3 linked regions of the Arabidopsis thaliana genome follow. The protein of the gene in region 1 purifies or fractionates together with the protein of each later gene. This does not show direct contact. Each region holds a gene or a part of one and is shown on either strand. Other genes may lie near its edges.

Region 1 (5,900 bases):
GAAAAGGAAATTCGTCAAAGAAGTTTGATGGAGGCACCTTTTGAGACTGCCCGATCAAGCTAGTTCGATCACAAATATAAAAATATAAAAGAATTGCTCCAAACTCAGCCCTACAATAGAAGAAAATGGTCACTATGGAGCCTAATCAGTAAGAATTCAATATTGCTGAGAACTAAGGAACCTACATTGCTCTCAAGGTTGCTCGGTTTTCAAGCAAGAAAGAGTCTTCCAAAGTCAGAAACCTACGAATAAACACAATGCCAATGGTTAAGAAAATATTATGGCTAGAGAACATTCCTCCCTAAGAAAAACAAATAGCTATAACAACCTAATCAAATTTGTTTTGATTGGTGAGCTATAAAACTTTGAAGAGGCAGATCTTGGAAGACCTCCTTCCATTAAAACTGTTCCTTCATCCTCTTTGTTCGTCACCATTTCCAGTTCAACCAAATTCTTATCTGAATGACTGCAAATGTGGATAACGTGAAACCACAAAAACAGTAAGTTCCAAAGAAATTAAACACACATAAGCGAGATATCAGTAGATGAGACTCAATTAGATAATAATCATCCATACACATACACTTTAGCGTGAAAAGAAGACCTCCTATACTCCAGAAATTCCGAGTATAGCCATGCTATCATAAGAGGAATGACTCCAAGCAGAAACGAAACCTGCAACAGAAAGAAGAACAAAAGAAGAAAGATTGAGAACAATAACAGTAATCCAAAAAAACCCACGAAAGTTGTGTTCTTTCAGCCGAATACAAAATGTAAATCTACGCAACAAGGTTCAATCCAAATCTTCCAAACTAAAAGAAAAAGTACGTTGCTTCAAGCTGAAGAAAACACAGAGTGGCTGAGGTAGAAGCTTAGTAAGTTATTAGTAATTGAAAACACTTGACTCAATGTTGAGACATTACAATCTTTGTAAATGAACTATTATAGATCATTGTGCCAGCAGATCATCTGGTGGGATAATCAATCTCACCACTCTACTTTACACAGCCAACATTAATCTAAATCTAGCAAGCAACCGATGAACTGAAGAATGAATCAACCACATTCATATAAAGGAGAAAGATAGAGAGTCCTAATCACATTAAGCTACAGGCCAATTCAATCAAAATCTCAAAATCCGCTTCGGGAAGTTGGAGAAGAATGTAAATCGAAACTTGAATCACCGAAGATCATGAAAAATTGTACCTGACCAGGCGTAATTGGCTGTGACACAACCATATCTACTGGATCCATAAAGGAATACCCAGAGATTCAAAAACTAGATACTGCAATATACACTCCAATTGCAATTAGTTTCAATCTAGGGGATGAAGAGAGAGATAGACAGAGTTAATTGGGGCAGTGGCAACGAAGAAGAAGAAGAAGAGATCTGAAGTGAAGAAGCTATTGCTTCAAGGAAGAAGAAAATGGCGGACGCGACGTCGTTTTCGTCAAATTCAATCGTACGGTTGGTTGGTTTGGCGATTGCCTCTCCTCTAATTGTTAAATTATTAATTACTTATTAATTACTAATTAAGTAAATTACAGAGGTAATCTGATTGTGGTTATACGCAATTTACAGCTCTCACTGCACACAAACTTTTCTTTCTAATCGCAATGCCTTTGCTTACAGAAATGCATGCATTTAGGTTTGGTTTTGACAACATATTTGTGTATCTAAAGAGGAAAAAAAGAACACAAAAACATTAGTGTGGATTTGCCTATAGATAAACAAACGTAGTGGACCTTTCTGGTAGGTGAGGGATAAGTTGGTACCAAACATCAATGTTCACATATTTGTTTGGTGTTAAAGCATTTGGAAAATTTTGCATCCATGTTGAAACGTCAAACGTGTAGATGTGATGACATTTAAATGTCTTTACTCTTTATTGGGTTTAGATTTCATTTCGTCAACCAAACCCACTCCTTGGGCCCAAAGGTTTCCACATTATCATCTTAAACCCTAAGGGGGCCACTAGTAAGTGGAAACAAACACTTCGTCGAATGCGCATCTTCTCTACATTCGTCTTTCATCGCAGACAACAAATCTTCAATCTTCGTCAATTCCAAACCACCACAATCCTTCGCAACCCAATCTCCATCGCTCCGATCCAGATTCCGATGGACGCCACCGAGCAGTCTCTCCGTCAATCTCTTTCCGAGAAATCCTCATCCGTCGAAGCTCAGGGTAACGCCGTCCGAGCTCTCAAGGCTTCCCGTGCAGCTAAACCAGAAATCGATGCTGCCATTGAGCAACTCAACAAATTGAAGCTCGAGAAATCTACCGTCGAGAAGGAGCTTCAGTCTATTATCAGTAGCTCCGGTAATGGTTCGCTTAACCGTGAGGCTTTTCGAAAAGCTGTTGTCAATACTCTCGAGCGGCGTTTGTTCTATATCCCTTCGTTTAAGATCTACAGTGGCGTCGCTGGACTTTTTGATTATGGTCCTCCTGGCTGTGCTATTAAATCCAATGTTCTCAGCTTTTGGCGTCAAGTAAGGAACAACACTATTCACATTTCTCTGTATTTAAATTCGACAAGATTTTGGTTGTATAAACCGAGTTAGATTTGTTACTAAACGTGATTGAATGGAGTAGAAATTGAGTCAAATGTGACAAGATTCATAGAGTAGAGTTACGTTTGGAATTATACAGATTGATGTGGGTCAAATTTGACATGATTCATAGAGTAGAAATTGTGTTAGGCTTGTTCTTATACGGGAGTGATTTGCTTCGTTTGCAGCATTTCATTCTTGAGGAGAACATGCTAGAAGTTGATTGTCCATGTGTGACACCAGAGGTTGTTCTCAAGGCATCTGGGCATGTAGATAAGTTCACTGATCTTATGGTTAAGGATGAGAAAACTGGAACATGTTACCGTGCTGACCACTTGCTCAAGGATTATTGTACCGAGAAGCTGGAGAAAGATCTTACCATCTCTGCTGAGAAAGCTGCTGAATTGAAGGATGTTCTTGCTGTTATGGAAGATTTTTCTCCTGAACAGCTAGGTGCCAAGATCAGGGAGTATGGGATCACTGCTCCAGACACGAAGAATCCACTCTCTGATCCTTACCCGTTTAATTTGATGTTTCAAACATCCATTGGCCCATCTGGTTTGATTCCTGGGTGAGTATTTTTCATGTTATAATCATTTCTGAGCCACTTTCTTTCCTGAGTTTGTTATCAAATTACTCCTCTTTTGTGTTTCAGTTACATGCGTCCTGAAACTGCTCAAGGTATTTTTGTCAACTTTAAGGACTTGTACTATTACAATGGGAAGAAACTTCCTTTTGCCGCGGCTCAAATTGGTCAAGCCTTTAGAAATGAGGTAATGTATTACTTTGCTTGATGTATGGGATGTCTTCATCTCAATCTTCTTTAAGAAATTCTTTTCTGCATTATGTCTGGGTTTTAATAAGTAGCATATTACTCGCAGATATCTCCTCGACAAGGGCTTCTTAGAGTTCGTGAATTCACGCTGGCAGAGATTGAGCACTTCGTTGATCCTGAGAATAAGTCACATCCTAAGTTCTCTGACGTAGCAAAATTGGAATTCCTTATGTTCCCAAGGGAAGAACAAATGTCTGGCCAATCTGCCAAAAAACTTTGCCTTGGTGAAGCTGTTGCTAAAGTTAGTATTTGTAATCATATTCGCCTACTTAATTCTACTAAGAACTCGCACACACCCATTTTTATATCTTATTGATGCCTGACACTGAAATCCTATTCGTATAGGGTACTGTGAACAATGAAACTCTAGGATACTTCATTGGGAGAGTGTATCTTTTCCTTACTCGTCTTGGCATTGACAAGGAACGGCTGCGCTTCCGTCAGCATCTAGCAAATGAAATGGCCCACTATGCAGCAGATTGTTGGGATGCTGAAATTGAAAGTTCATATGGGTGGATTGAATGTGTTGGGATTGCAGATAGGTCTGCTTACGACTTACGTGCTCACTCTGTAAGAACCTCACCTTTTACTTCTATTTTCATCATTTCGTTTTACAGCTAGATAATTAATGATCAAAACCCGTAAGTGTTCCTGTTTAAATTCACTAAAGTATATTGTTGATCAACTGTTGCGCGACAGGACAAAAGTGGTACTCCTCTTGTGGCTGAAGAGAAATTTGCAGAACCTAAAGAAGTAGAGGTATTTTAGTGAACAGATTCATTCATCTCTGTCTTTATTACTTGTCCTTAACATGGTTATCTTTTATATCAGAAACTTGTGATAACTCCTGTGAAGAAAGAACTGGGTCTTGCATTCAAGGGAAATCAAAAGAATGTGGTTGAATCTTTGGAGGTTGAACTCTTAACTGTTTTACTGAATAACTTTTTTTTTTAATAATATGGTGATGGTTTAGAATAAATATCATGCTTCGTGTAATGTTTTGTTAGGCGATGAATGAGGAAGAAGCTATGGAGATGAAAGCAACCCTGGAATCCAAAGGGGAAGTGGAGTTTTACGTGTGTACCCTAAAGAAAAGCGTGAACATCAAGAAAAACATGGTGTCTATATCAAAGGAGAAGAAGAAAGAGCACCAGCGGGTTTTCACTCCATCAGTGATTGAACCATCGTTTGGGATTGGTCGGATCATATATTGTCTGTATGAGCATTGTTTCAGCACAAGGCCAAGCAAAGCAGGGGATGAGCAGTTGAACTTGTTCCGTTTCCCTCCTCTTGTAGCTCCCATCAAGTGCACGGTTTTCCCGCTTGTTCAGAACCAACAATTCGAGGAAGTAGCCAAAGTTATTTCCAAGGAACTCGCCTCTGTCGGTATCTCCCATAAGATTGACATCACTGGTACGTAAAAACAAGTTGAGAATTGAAGTTTTTTGAAATATTGAAATGGATCAAATCAAGTAAAGATTTGTTGTGTTTGTGTGTGAACAGGTACATCGATAGGGAAGAGATATGCGAGAACCGATGAGCTTGGAGTGCCATTTGCAATAACAGTGGACTCGGATACATCAGTGACAATCAGAGAAAGAGACAGCAAAGATCAAGTCCGAGTCACCTTGAAGGAGGCAGCTTCCGTTGTGAGCTCAGTCTCAGAGGGGAAAATGACGTGGCAAGACGTCTGGGCAACCTTCCCTCACCATTCTTCTGCTGCTGCAGACGAGTAGCTAGCTCCTTGTTTTTTTCCGAATTAAAAACCAAAGTGTTAAATTAATTGTTGCTGAATCTACTCATTTTTAATGTTTTGTTTCTTAGTGTCACGTAAAAAGTTCGATACCAGATTTGGAGACGAAGTGGCTATAAAGTATAAACTCTCTGTTATATTTTCGTCCATTCTACTGCTAATTTTCTAAATTTTGGTCACAAATTTCAGTCCATCCAGTTATGGTCTGAATTGTTTGTGTTTGCATTAAGAAAAAAAAGTATGAAGGATCATTGTTTTTACAGTTTGCTAAGGATTACAAAGTTACAAGTTAGAGAAGCAAAGAGTTGACGCATCCTTGGGCAGTTGGTAGCGCCATCGTGCATATATACTGACTATTTTAGGTTTTAGTTTAGATGCAGAGATGGACTAAACCAGAGGAAAGCACATTCAAAAGTTTTTGATATCGAATAATGGGTTAGTTAAATCCAAGTTTTATGATAATGCAGCCATGCAGGCGGATAGAAATCTCGATCTTGGAGGACGTAACACAATTAGGCAAGTTATGAAGGAAAGTAAGATTATCAATATTTATGATTTTATGATTGTTATTTATATAATTAAATACAAATAATTAATACAATAGACTATAGGCAAGATATATTTAAAAAAATATTTAATTGAAATTACAATTAAAATGTTTAAGAACGAATAGAGATTTTATATTTTTTTTTAAAAACTCATCGCTTGAGCACCAAGTTTCGCATTGTAATAAAAATCCTAAAGTAACAAAACCCTGCT
Region 2 (5,766 bases), on another chromosome or scaffold:
TTTGGTTCTGTGCAGGGTGCATCAGTGGTGGTGCTGGCTAATCTGAAGCCGAGGAATATGAGAGGGGTTAAGTCATGTGGTATGCTTTTAGCTGCATCTGACGCAGCTCATGAAAATGTTGAGCTTCTTGTTCCACCAGAAGGCTCTGTTCCTGGAGATAGAGTTTGGTTTGGTAACGAAGAAGATCTCGAGCAGCTTCCTGAACCTGCACCTCCTAATAAGGTCATTTAGCCTGCAAAGCACTAATCATTTCAGTACTGCAAGACTTAAGTCATGGCATATTCAAGTTCTGTGTTTTCTTTGTTGTTTCAGGTTCAAAAGAAGAAGATGTGGGAATTGGTGCAACCACTTTTGAAGACAGATGCGTCTGGTGTTTCAATGCTTAAGGAGCATTTGATGCGGACATCTTCTGGTCTTGTTACTTCCAAGTCTTTAAGAAATGCCAACATTTCTTGATTTCTGTTAAAAGCTATTTTGTGATGTTGTTTTGACACAAGAGAGAAAGAACAAACCGCTAAGGCGATTTTTTTCATTGCAATCAAACTGATGTTTTTGTTGATTCATCAAAGTAAGGTTATTACGAATCAAAAATAACTTTAAAAGGTACAAAACAAATCTCGAAATCGAATGTTTCCTCTTCGCCGGTGGTTTTCTCGGAGATCAAGCAAAGACAGAGAAGATATCACCATTGATGTAATTGTTGTCCACTAAGCTTACCAAATAGTAGCTGTTCTTCACCTGCATATTCGATTGGATCATACCATCATCATTACAGCTAAACCAATCTGGTCACTGAAAAGAAGAGAAGAAAAAAGAAGAAGATTCTTTACCTCCTCGAGCAACTTTCTAGAAGGGTCATCTTCTGGGTACAAGTTAGCCCAGCTTCTTGACCAAATCTCAAACGCTTCGTCTTTCCAGACTTTGAAACTGGCTGGATCCACGATCGTCGGTTGAATAACCTCCTTAGCTGGGAACACTCCCCAAGTAACTGCATTCACATCGGACTCACCGGTGTTTGATACCCAATTCTCTGATTTGTTCACGGCCATGTAGGTGATAGAAGGAAAAGCTTTGGATTTCTCCACAAGTGTGTCTAACTTATCCTTTGAACAGAAGAACTCCAGATAAGCTTTCTGGTAGACGTAACCACCAGGACCACCCCATCCTGCAAAGTATCAATTGCAATTATACATTTTTGTTATAAGCCAAGTAGATATTCCCAATGCAATTTAAACATTATGTTATAAGCTAAGACAGAAGCTCTAGAGGGTTTAAATAGGTTTTTAAGAAATGACAGATGAATCACAAGTCAAATAAGATTTTTTTTTTTGGAACGTTATGGTATGCTTTGTGATCACAAGTTTGAGTTTTCTTACCAATAGCTGGAGAATCGGATTTGGCTGCATTGACTGATGGTTGGCTATTAATGGTCAGGAAACCGTTGGAGTTGATTTTTCCGAGTTGCTCATTTATGATCTTTGTCTCTGGCTGGAGTCCATCTAATTCAGACCATGGGCTGCTTTTTAAGTTTCCAATGCAGAGCTCTTTGAATTTCTGATTTGTGACAGTTTTTACATGAAAATGTGCAAGTGAGTATGAGGGAAAGAGATCGAAACAATTTGTACGAGTGTCCGTAAAGTAAAGCCTACCTCTTGAACATCTTCAATGCTTTTCAGTGGGACGACCCATTCTTGCTGAAGCTTCTTGTCACGTCCTTTTGGGCGCGCAAACTATCAACACATGCATTTATATCAGCACTACTCATTGGCAATGAAAAACGCAGAAGAGATGGCAAGCAAAGCAAGCAGCTTCTTACAAGTGATAATGGTAGGGCTAAATAACAATATGCAAATACAATTTAAGCAAATTGAGAAGGCAAACTGAAAACAAGCCTTTCAGAATTCAAGTTTTCAAAATATAAAGTCGATATGTCAGAAAACTGATAAATATGTGGTACGTACCTGATAATCCGAAAGTGTACTGTATGCTGCACTGTGTGAATCACCCCAACGTCCATGTGGGAAGTCATTCCAGCCCTTTGTTCTAGATATGTAGCTCTTTGGACGGTTTGCCCTGCAAAGATAAAAAATGAAGTAACAGTATTATTCCTCCGCAAATATATCTTAAAGTTAAAGATCTGTAATAATACTCCGAGCAAGAGAAACAAAATGCAGGTTACCAGAAAATTGGGCGAACATCTTCCTTAGTACGGAAAACATTTGCAGGGCGTCTCCAAGGTAGAGAACGAGAAATTTTTGACTCATCAATCAGACCAAGGTTCTGCAATTTGAGCACCACTGTTAGGTTCTCCGGTATACACAATACCATGTGTTAAATATTACTACACAGAAACCAATTTAGAAGGAAATGAGAAGAAAACCATTAATATCCCAATAGCTGATTTGTCCACGTTCAATGTGTAGAGATGAAGGGAAGTGATTCCATGGGCCAAAATCTTTTTGCACATTTCTGTTGCAAAGTGAATTCCATAGGCTTTAACAGCCTCGTCATTATCCTTAATAGGCTCTAAGGCAGCAGTGAGCTCAGCGGGTATCTATGCAATAATAGAATCATGAGTGGAATATAAATCAAAGAAAAATGATATCTGAACACATTAGTCATAAGGCATCATCACCAAGGGTCTATATATATATCACCAAGCAACTAGATAGATGCAGTAAACTCAATCTCATCTTAAAGCCTTTAAGCACAAAGACGACATGTGTCTACAGAGCAAGCCATATCATCACACAGATGAAAGAGATCACAACATACCTTGGTCTTACAGAAACCAGCCATACGCAAGAACCCCTTGTAGTTGGAAATAGGCATAATTCCAGGAACAATGGGACAATTAATCCCGATTTGCCGACAATCATTCACAAACTTGAGGAATATATCAGTATCATAGAAAAGCTGAGTCACAATCAAATCTGCTCCAGCATCAACCTGTACCACAAGCCACAATCCACTAAACCCATCAAATCAAGACAACACAAACAATTCAACACACAAAATTCAAAACCAAGACACAAATCTGAACCTTTTTCTTCAAGTAAGCAAGATCACTCTGATAAGATTCAGGAGTAGCAAGTCCATCAGCTTCAATAACATCCGGATGAGCCTCTGATTCATAACACACAAATCCCCAATTAGAGATCAAAATCACAACAACGAAACCAACAATGAAATTGATTAAAAGGGAGCATTTTGATTACCAGGATAACCAGCAACAGTGATTCCAAAGTAATCACCATACTTGCTACGAATGTGATTCACCAGATCCAAAGCACAAGCAAATCCTCCTTCAACCTGAACAAACTTATCTTGTCCATGAGGAGGATCTCCTCTAAGAGCAAGCACATTCTGAATTCCATTAGATCTAATCGTCTCAAGCGCGTGATCAATCTTCTCAATCGGCATGTTGGTACAAGTGAGATGCATCATAGTCTCGACGCAGATAACATTCTGCATCCTAGAAGCAATCTCGAGAGTGAGATCAGCTGTGGATCCACCAGCACCCCAAGTGATATCGCAGAAGGTAGGTCCATAAGAGACCAATCGATCCATTCGTTCAAAGAGATTCTCGACGCCATCTTCTGTCTTCGGTGGGAAAAACTCGAAGGAGAAAGCTGTTTGGCCTTGCTCCGTCACGGATTTGATCTTATCAACCACCTTCATCGTTGAATCGAAATGAGATCCAAATCCAAATCCAGATTCGGAATTAGATAGGTAGAGGAAGTGGTGGTGGAGAGGCAAGTTTGGTCTCTCTGGTTTGTTTACTCACTCATTTATACTAATCTCTAAAAATGAAGATAGAGATCCAACAACTTTGGTGGTAACTGGTAACCGGTAAAAACTTTAGATAAAAAATTATATTATCAACATTGTTGTTTTTCTACACATCTATTTTGAATTTTCCTTTTTCTAATTACATAATATTTATCAATGTAAATATATTTTCAACAAAGAAATCCAAATTTAGCACAGCATTTCTGTTATCACGTTTTTTTTCTCACATTGCTATCACTTTTTATTGTGCTAAATACATATTTCCTCACTTTTGGAATTTATCTTTTCCATAATAGTAATTTTATCCTTTTCCTTTACAAAAAACTAGTTTTTATATTTTTCTTATTTTCCAACTAAACATAAGAAAAAGAAAATTTAGTTAGGTAGGTGAGCTACGACCCCACATTACCTACCACCGGTAACGGCAAATCCACTGTCGGTCACCGGCGCGTGGGTATCATCCGCTACAACGGACAGTAGGCTAGTGATATAGCAGCATTGCCAAGGAGAATCACGTGCTTAACAAACTCGAGTTATAGACAGAGCAAACCGGGTATGAGATTTTTTGTCTCTTAAATAACCAAAACCCCGGTTTAAAATCCAAAAACACTTTTCTTTATTTGGTCCAAAGATTCCACATACAGTGTAATGTACTACTGAACTACTGATTCAAGTTGGATACATACAACAACAAAGTCTAAACCTATTTGCCAACCGACACGGTTTGGTTGGTTACAAAATTTCTTGACAATTCAAGTGTAATCCTATGTAAGGGAATGAAATCAGACTTGGAACAGTCACAATATCAAGCAGTTACAACCTTCCAAACTTCTCTGCACATGTCGATGATCTCGGTAACACCATCCTCATACATGACCTGGACAAAGTCAATGTTCATTCTTTAGATTTCGTAAACTGAGATAGAATGTGAACAACAGTGTTGGCAATAAGTCAAATGAATAGATACCAAGTGCTTATTTAAAACTCATCATATTGTGTAATGATTCCAAAACACCTGAAAAATGTCAACTACTAGAGTCAAAACCTTCATCTGAGCCGTGTAATACTGTTCTTTGGTGTGGAAGAAATTGGTTTTTGAGAAAAAAAGAAAGATAGTTATACTTTTGGTTCATGGGACGTGCTAACCAGATCACCGCACCAATGCAGTCCCGGCAACATATTTTCCTCTGGCTATGATTGTTCCAAGCTTGTCCTGACGCATCCAAATTGGTTTCTCTTACCTCTGAATTGAGAAGCTTGTCGATAATCGAGCCAAATAATTAATACTAACCAGCAATGCGTCTCCCTCGAGTTTTTCCCTAACCATATGTTTGAAAGGACAAGTTACTGTTTAGCAATCACAGGATGACTAAAAAAAAGTAAGGCAAAGCTCAAATTTACCTTGGGCGTTTTCCAGGTCACTTTACATGCCACTGGCTTCACAGCTTCTTCTAAGGTTGTGTTCTTAGTTTTGCAAGGTTTTGCACCTAGCTTTTTTCTGCAACACACTGCACCACAGTAGCAATCTTGATCTGCACCAAACTGAACAAACCTGCTATATTTATTAGTATCACACAACTAAACATTTACATTCAAATACTTTATTGTTGTGATGCAAGGAAATGTTCTTACTGGTAATCGTAAGTCAACTGCTCGCCTTTGTTTATGAAACGGGTAGCAAAAATGCCGATTCTTGTCTCGCCATCAATTATCCTAAATGGGAACAAAAAGGTTCATGATCTATAACTTTGCTCAATTGTTTTGAACAGAAGAAAAGTGAGAAGATGGATAATAAGTTACAAACGAACCATTTCTGCATCTCTGTGTTAGGACTGCAGCTGTGATTGATGTATCTTGATTTATTACCCTTGTGAGTAGCATCAATCACCATGTTCCAGTTTATCTGACACAAATAGAAATTTGTCTCGACCTTATGATTCAGCTTCCAAAGCCTTTCTTCACAAATCTTGTCGT
Region 3 (5,860 bases), on another chromosome or scaffold:
AATTGAGGTTTTTAGAGTGAGCAAGAACCTTGTGTAGCAAAAACCTTAAATCCGTCATCTATGGGAAGTATAAACTCTGTGGCTGAAGCTAAAACAGAGGAAGATCCTTCGACAAATCAGGGAGATGGGGACGACGAATCACCTAGAACCCTAATTGAAGATCAGAGAGATGTGGAGGAATCAAAAACCCTAAGTGAAGATCAAGTAGATGTGAAGGAATCCAAAACCCTAATTGAAGATCAAGGAGATGAGGAAGAATCTAAAACCCTAGATGAAGATTTGGATGAAACAGAGGAAGAGAGTGGAGAGTGCCCTTTATGCCAGTTCATAAAGGGAGGTGAGTGTAAAGAAGCATTCACAGAATTGGAGAATTGTTGCGACGAAGCAAAGAAGAACAATGAAGATCACGTAAGTAAATGTAAGGAGGCAAGACTCATCTTTAAGACTTGCATGTATGATAACCCTGTTTACTATGAGCCCCTTCTTGCTGGTGAGGCTAGAGCGATGGCCAAGATGTTGAGCGAGTTGTTGAACGCGGAAAAGGAAGCTATTATGGCTGGTGAGCCTGCAGTCATTGCGAGGGCGTTTAGCGGGTTGCAAGAAGAGAATGCTGAGCCAATTCTGCCTGCTGAAGCTGCAGCGATCGGGAAGGCGTTTCGCGAGTTGGAAGCTGGAAAGAAGAAGGAGAAGGAAGCAGAGGGATCCGAGGGTAATGAGAGTGATCATCAGAATCAGAATTAGGTAAAGCTTTTTTTATGAGCATATTGAGACTTACATTGATCTGAATGAAAATTCAAATTTCGTTACTCTTAATTTTGTTTAGGTGTGTCTTCTTATATACACCATTGGTTATGTAATTTGGATGCATCTATAAAATACTGTCGTAATCACCTTCTTCTACAAAAAACTAAGACCATTTTAATATACATTTTGATTTTTTTTAAGATAAGACTTTGTGCAAGAGTTTTTATCCAATGATAGAATCTTAAGTGAGACTTGAGTAGTACTTATGCTCAACTTTTGAAACAAGAGATAGAAGTAAAAGAAAGAAGCACATTCCTTTGGCACATAAAAGTCATCAGCAGTGGTCTTCAGGATCTTCCGCAATACGCTTCAACATGAATAGCAGCCATACGGTCCATGAAGTGATCAGTGGTAATCACTGCAAGATGATCTTCAACAAAATCTTCAATCTTCTTCCAGTCACGATCAAACCTAAGAAACAGAGAGCAGTAGTATCATCAGCACAATCAGGTCCTGCTAAAATCAATATAATACTTTTAAAAAACCACACAAGTATAAAATTATTACAGTTGAAGTGCTTCAAGAAGCAGATCTATTTAGCTAATCAAAAAAGATCAATTAACTCAAGGAAGCAGATCTTTTTTAGCTTAAGTTACTACTGACCTAACACTATCATAAACTTCCCTCTCGTTCACTTATGTATCTGCCTTGACATATCAGTTTATATCCCTAAAAGCCAGCAATAATATTGAAGGATCTAACACTAAGGAAAACTAAAACATGCATTGCTCGCCAATCCAAACAGAAACTCACCAAATCGTAAGTTTCGATATCATCCAAACCAAACAAATTGAATGCCTGGGGAGAGAGAGTCTTACTGAGGAAAAATGCTTCAATTAGCCCAAATATTAAAGTCCCAATATAAGGAGACTTTTTGTTAAATTTTTAGCCCGATTAAACATAACATTTTTTAATCAGCATGCAATATTTTCATTTAATGTGCTCGGTTCTGTCACGGACACTGACATGTAATTTTTCATTTTCACGGGTGAGATAATTTTCAGACAATATTAGAATTTTTTTCTTCCCTTTGTAGTTATTCGAAATTATGTTATTGTTGGGAAGTAATGAAAAAAAACTCAACAAAATTCGATTTAATACCTATCCATAATATTATTGATCCTAAAAATAGAAAAGGATAATTTTGCTGAGTCAGAAACGTGATATTCGCGACGTTGTTTCCGGATAAAGAGTAAACGTACGACTGCTTTAACTCACCTATAAAATCACGACCGTCGATTTCATTTATGTCAAGGGGCAAAACTGAAAATCACACAAAAACAAACAAAACTTTGCTTACGTCACATCATTATCTGTGACTAATTCTTAATCATCATCATCATCATCACTTACTTAAATCTAAAAAAATCTCTGTTTGTATATATATTATCTTTGCGATTTTTATCCAAATCTTCCAAAGCTTAGTTTTTTTTTTTTTTCAATTTCTCTCTTGCGTTTTCGATTTTATTACAAGAACTTTGTTTTGGGCTTCATCCATCGTTCAAGGTTCGTTGAAAACTATGAAGAAAGTTGAGTTTTTTATGCTCCTTCTCTGCTTCATCGCAGCGTCATCTCTAGTGGTAAGACTTAATAATCAAAAGCTCGAATTTTTAATGTTCTTCCAATCATTGAAATATAATCCGAGATTAAAGTTTTTAAATTTGATCTTGATTGGTGTGTAAAGTCTGCTGATCCACCAACATGTCCTGCTGATTTGGGAGGCAAGTGTAGTGATTCTGATGACTGGCAAGGTGATTTCTTCCCTGAAATCCCCAAGATTAAGTATGAGGTAAACAATGGTGATGTTTCTCTTTAAAACTGTTGGTTTAAGTTGGAAACTTTAGTGGATTTGTTGTTTGCATGTGTAGATGAATTGGTTGTTGATGAATTTTTTCAGGGACCTTCGAGTAAGAACCCACTTGCTTACAGGTGGTATAACGCTGAAGAAGAGATTCTTGGGAAGAAAATGAAGGTACTTTTATTTTCTTGTTTGTATTTTCTTGCAACAATTTTTGAGTTATGTTTTTATGGATTTGAAGAAACGTGTGGGATGTTTGTTTGTTGTCCTGAATTTTTTGAACAGGATTGGTTTAGATTCAGTGTTGCGTTTTGGCATACTTTCCGTGGGACTGGAGGTGATCCATTTGGTGCTGCTACTAAGTATTGGCCTTGGGAAGATGGTACTAACTCTGTGTCTATGGCTAAGAGAAGAAGTAAGTCCAGATTGTGTTTTTATGTTAGTTTCTCTTCGTTATCGAGTTACTGTGATTTGAGTTACTGATTGTTGTTTAATGCAGTGAGAGCTAACTTTGAGTTCTTGAAGAAACTTGGAGTTGATTGGTGGTGTTTTCATGACAGAGACATAGCACCTGATGGCACTACACTTGAGGTAACTCGAGCTTCTGAACTTACACCATTTTGCTTTACATTGAAACTACAATCTGCTTTATTGCCTGGTGTTATAAACCATTTTGGTCCTGATATTTCCTTTGCAGCTTGCTGTTTCTTGTGGTACTTGATAACTTTGTTTTGCTCTTGTTGGCCCAATGTTAACTTGTTTCAGTCATAAAGAAAGCGCCTGTAACCTGTTTATACTTAATCTGCAGGAATCTAACAAAAACTTGGATGAAGTTATCGAACTCGCCAAAGAACTCCAAAAGGTGATTCAGTTTGTTAATTTTCCAGTTCTTATTACACATTGGATTTTGGAAGATACTTCTTGTAGTTAATCAATTCTCCAATACAGACTCATGTATGCCATTTTATAATTGAATCTTTTTATCACTGAAACAGTACTATCTTGTTACCATTCCTTAGTTTGATGTGCTAAGAAAAAAAGGTTCTTCGTTTTCTTCAAATGCAGGGGAGCAAAATCAAACCATTGTGGGGAACAGCTCAGCTTTTCTTGCATCCTCGTTATATGCACGGAGGAGCGACCAGCTCTGAAGTTGGAGTGTATGCTTACGCTGCTGCTCAGGTGAAGAAAGCCATGGAGGTAACACATTACTTAGGTGGTGAAAACTACGTTTTTTGGGGTGGTCGTGAAGGTTATCAGACACTCTTGAACACTGATATGGGAAGAGAGCTTGATCATCTAGCCAGGTTCTTTGAAGCTGCTGTTGCTTACAAGAAGAAGATTGGATTCAAAGGTAAGTCTACTGCTTCTTTTTCTTGTCCTGTATTCAGTCTTATGGGAGTTATTGCACAATAATCTTCTTTTTATCAGGCACGCTTTTAATCGAGCCCAAGCCTCAAGAACCCACCAAGCACCAGTATGACTGGGATGCTGCAACAGCTGCCAATTTCTTGAGGAAATATGGTCTTATTGATGAGTTTAAGCTCAACATTGAGTGTAACCATGCCACGCTCTCTGGTCACACTTGTCATCACGAGCTTGAAACTGCAAGAATTAATGGTTTACTTGGCAACATTGATGCAAACACTGGCGATGCTCAAACTGGTAATTTTTCAATTTCAGCTCTCTTGATTGTTAACACCTCCTAACCAGATTCTGATTGAACAAAGTTCTCTCATTCTCTTAACAGGATGGGATACAGATCAGTTTCTTACAGATGTTGGAGAAGCAACCATGGTTATGATGAGTGTCATCAAAAATGTATGTAATATTAAAGAAACTCGCTATTTTTGGGAATTTCATTGTAAATTTTTGAATGTAAGCTCATAAGAGCTTCTGTTTTTCACATATGAAACAGGGTGGGATTGCTCCAGGCGGCTTCAACTTTGACGCTAAACTGTAAGAGCGATTCTTGATTCACAATGTTTTACTGTTTCATACAAAATTAAACCGAGAAAGAAGCTTATAATGTTTGGTTGATTAAACAGGCGAAGAGAGAGTACAGACGTGGAAGACTTATTCATTGCTCATATTAGTGGAATGGATACAATGGCTCGTGGACTGAGAAATGCAGTCAAAATCTTGGAGGTTAGTTAAGATATGAATAGATAAGTTTTATAAAAGAACCAAAGAGTGTAGCTTTAACTTGGTTTCGGTGTGGTAAAGGAGGGAAGTCTAAGTGAATTGGTACGCAAGCGATATGCAACTTGGGACTCTGAGCTTGGGAAGCAAATAGAAGAAGGAAAAGCTGATTTTGAGTATCTTGAGAAGAAAGCTAAAGAGTTTGGAGAACCAAAGGTTTCTTCTGCTAAACAGGTACAAGTTTCTTGCTATTAATTCTGGTTTTGTTTCGTTAAACACGAAAAACACACAATGATCGATGTCTTTTGAAACGAAATCTGCAGGAACTCGCTGAGATGATTTTCCAATCTGCAATGTAAGAAGAAGAACAAGAAGGCTTTTTATGTTTATTAAAAGTATCGTCTTTTTTAGTTTCCCTCGCATCTTTGAGAAGTTTGAAAACCAAAACATTGGAAAATAAGATGATTAGAGAGGTTGGTTTCATTATTTCAGTTGATGTACTATGGTTTCACACTCTAATTACTTTAAATTGAATAACAAAAAACTGTTTAGGCCTTTACTTTGATTCAGTTACGGTTTTTGTGACAAAGACCAATGAGCAATTCCGATCTATTTCTTCACTCGACTATAGTAAAGTTTGTAGGAGGTTTTATACGAGAAAGTTTAAAACAGCGATATACATATATACAATCAAAATTCTTCTTACCTTATGAAAATTTGAAAAGCAATATATGATTTTCACATTAAGCTTTGAGTTTTGAGTTTGAAAACGTTGATTCTTAAAAATGGTCTAACATCAATAAAAACTTTATCCAATTCATTTCGTTTCGTTAGTTATGATTTCAGAATTTTCTGTTGAGATTTAAAGGAAACTCAAAGTCCTAATTTGACAAATTTCTCGACAAAATCTTTGATAGTATTTGATAAGAAAGGTTTGAAAACTAGGGAAACATAGCCTATCTACTTGATGTATCTATGAAATAGTTGTGATGACTTTGTTAATTTCGTATTTGCGACGACCGTGATGTATTACAATAATTGAGTCTTCTATGATGTTGAACCTAATTACTATCCGTCGATGGTTCTAGAAAATTTCTTTATTTGTTGTTGAATGAATTA

What was found. Proteins that work in one complex are often made in the same cells at the same time.
Region 2: the proteins of AT1G29880 (region 1) and MTHFR1 fractionate together in Arabidopsis thaliana (co-fractionation; one large-scale study listed by BioGRID). This does not show direct contact.
Region 3: the proteins of AT1G29880 (region 1) and AT5G57655 fractionate together in Arabidopsis thaliana (co-fractionation; one large-scale study listed by BioGRID). This does not show direct contact.

The regions. Positions count from the first base shown.
Region 1 is NC_003070.9:10,458,886-10,464,785, reverse strand, and holds AT1G29880 (glycyl-tRNA synthetase / glycine-tRNA ligase), read left to right. Parts: upstream 1-1,818; 5' UTR 1,819-2,004; coding exon 2,005-2,493; intron 2,494-2,741; coding exon 2,742-3,124; intron 3,125-3,208; coding exon 3,209-3,326; intron 3,327-3,434; coding exon 3,435-3,629; intron 3,630-3,733; coding exon 3,734-3,958; intron 3,959-4,087; coding exon 4,088-4,147; intron 4,148-4,219; coding exon 4,220-4,300; intron 4,301-4,395; coding exon 4,396-4,801; intron 4,802-4,891; coding exon 4,892-5,124; 3' UTR 5,125-5,329; downstream 5,330-5,900. Other genes in the region: RWA4 (O-acetyltransferase family protein), read right to left, coding at 38-110, 186-242, 329-466, 584-675, 1,207-1,254. UniProt on the Arabidopsis thaliana protein: Catalyzes the ATP-dependent ligation of glycine to the 3'-end of its cognate tRNA, via the formation of an aminoacyl-adenylate intermediate (Gly-AMP).
Region 2 is NC_003074.8:22,149,218-22,154,983, reverse strand, and holds MTHFR1 (methylenetetrahydrofolate reductase 1), read right to left. Parts: upstream 3,821-5,766; 5' UTR 3,682-3,820; coding exon 3,219-3,681; intron 3,127-3,218; coding exon 3,044-3,126; intron 2,950-3,043; coding exon 2,776-2,949; exon of another isoform or gene 2,555-2,775; coding exon 2,381-2,554; intron 2,281-2,380; coding exon 2,180-2,280; intron 2,074-2,179; coding exon 1,962-2,073; intron 1,731-1,961; coding exon 1,650-1,730; coding exon of another isoform or gene 1,572-1,649; exon of another isoform or gene 1,555-1,571; coding exon 1,377-1,554; intron 1,166-1,376; coding exon 831-1,165; intron 741-830; exon of another isoform or gene 739-740; coding exon 661-738; 3' UTR 501-660; downstream 1-500. Other genes in the region: AT3G59980 (Nucleic acid-binding, OB-fold-like protein), read left to right, coding at 16-222, 313-456; histone-lysine N-methyltransferase ASHH4, read right to left, coding at 4,771-4,807, 4,915-5,005, 5,084-5,111, 5,194-5,344, 5,425-5,505, 5,601-5,766. UniProt on the Arabidopsis thaliana protein: The probable reversibility of the MTHFR reaction in plants suggests that they can metabolize the methyl group of 5,10-methylenetetrahydrofolate to serine, sugars and starch.
Region 3 is NC_003076.8:23,344,706-23,350,565, forward strand, and holds AT5G57655 (xylose isomerase family protein), read left to right. Parts: upstream 1-1,969; 5' UTR 1,970-2,324; coding exon 2,325-2,384; intron 2,385-2,488; coding exon 2,489-2,593; intron 2,594-2,701; coding exon 2,702-2,776; intron 2,777-2,887; coding exon 2,888-3,017; intron 3,018-3,101; coding exon 3,102-3,193; intron 3,194-3,410; coding exon 3,411-3,464; intron 3,465-3,667; coding exon 3,668-3,953; coding exon of another isoform or gene 3,954-4,015; exon of another isoform or gene 4,016-4,030; coding exon 4,031-4,264; intron 4,265-4,349; coding exon 4,350-4,420; intron 4,421-4,517; coding exon 4,518-4,558; intron 4,559-4,647; coding exon 4,648-4,747; intron 4,748-4,825; coding exon 4,826-4,975; intron 4,976-5,064; coding exon 5,065-5,100; 3' UTR 5,101-5,360; downstream 5,361-5,860. Other genes in the region: AT5G57640 (GCK domain-containing protein), read left to right, coding at 61-741; AT5G57650 (eukaryotic translation initiation factor-like protein), read right to left, coding at 1,092-1,215, 1,558-1,580.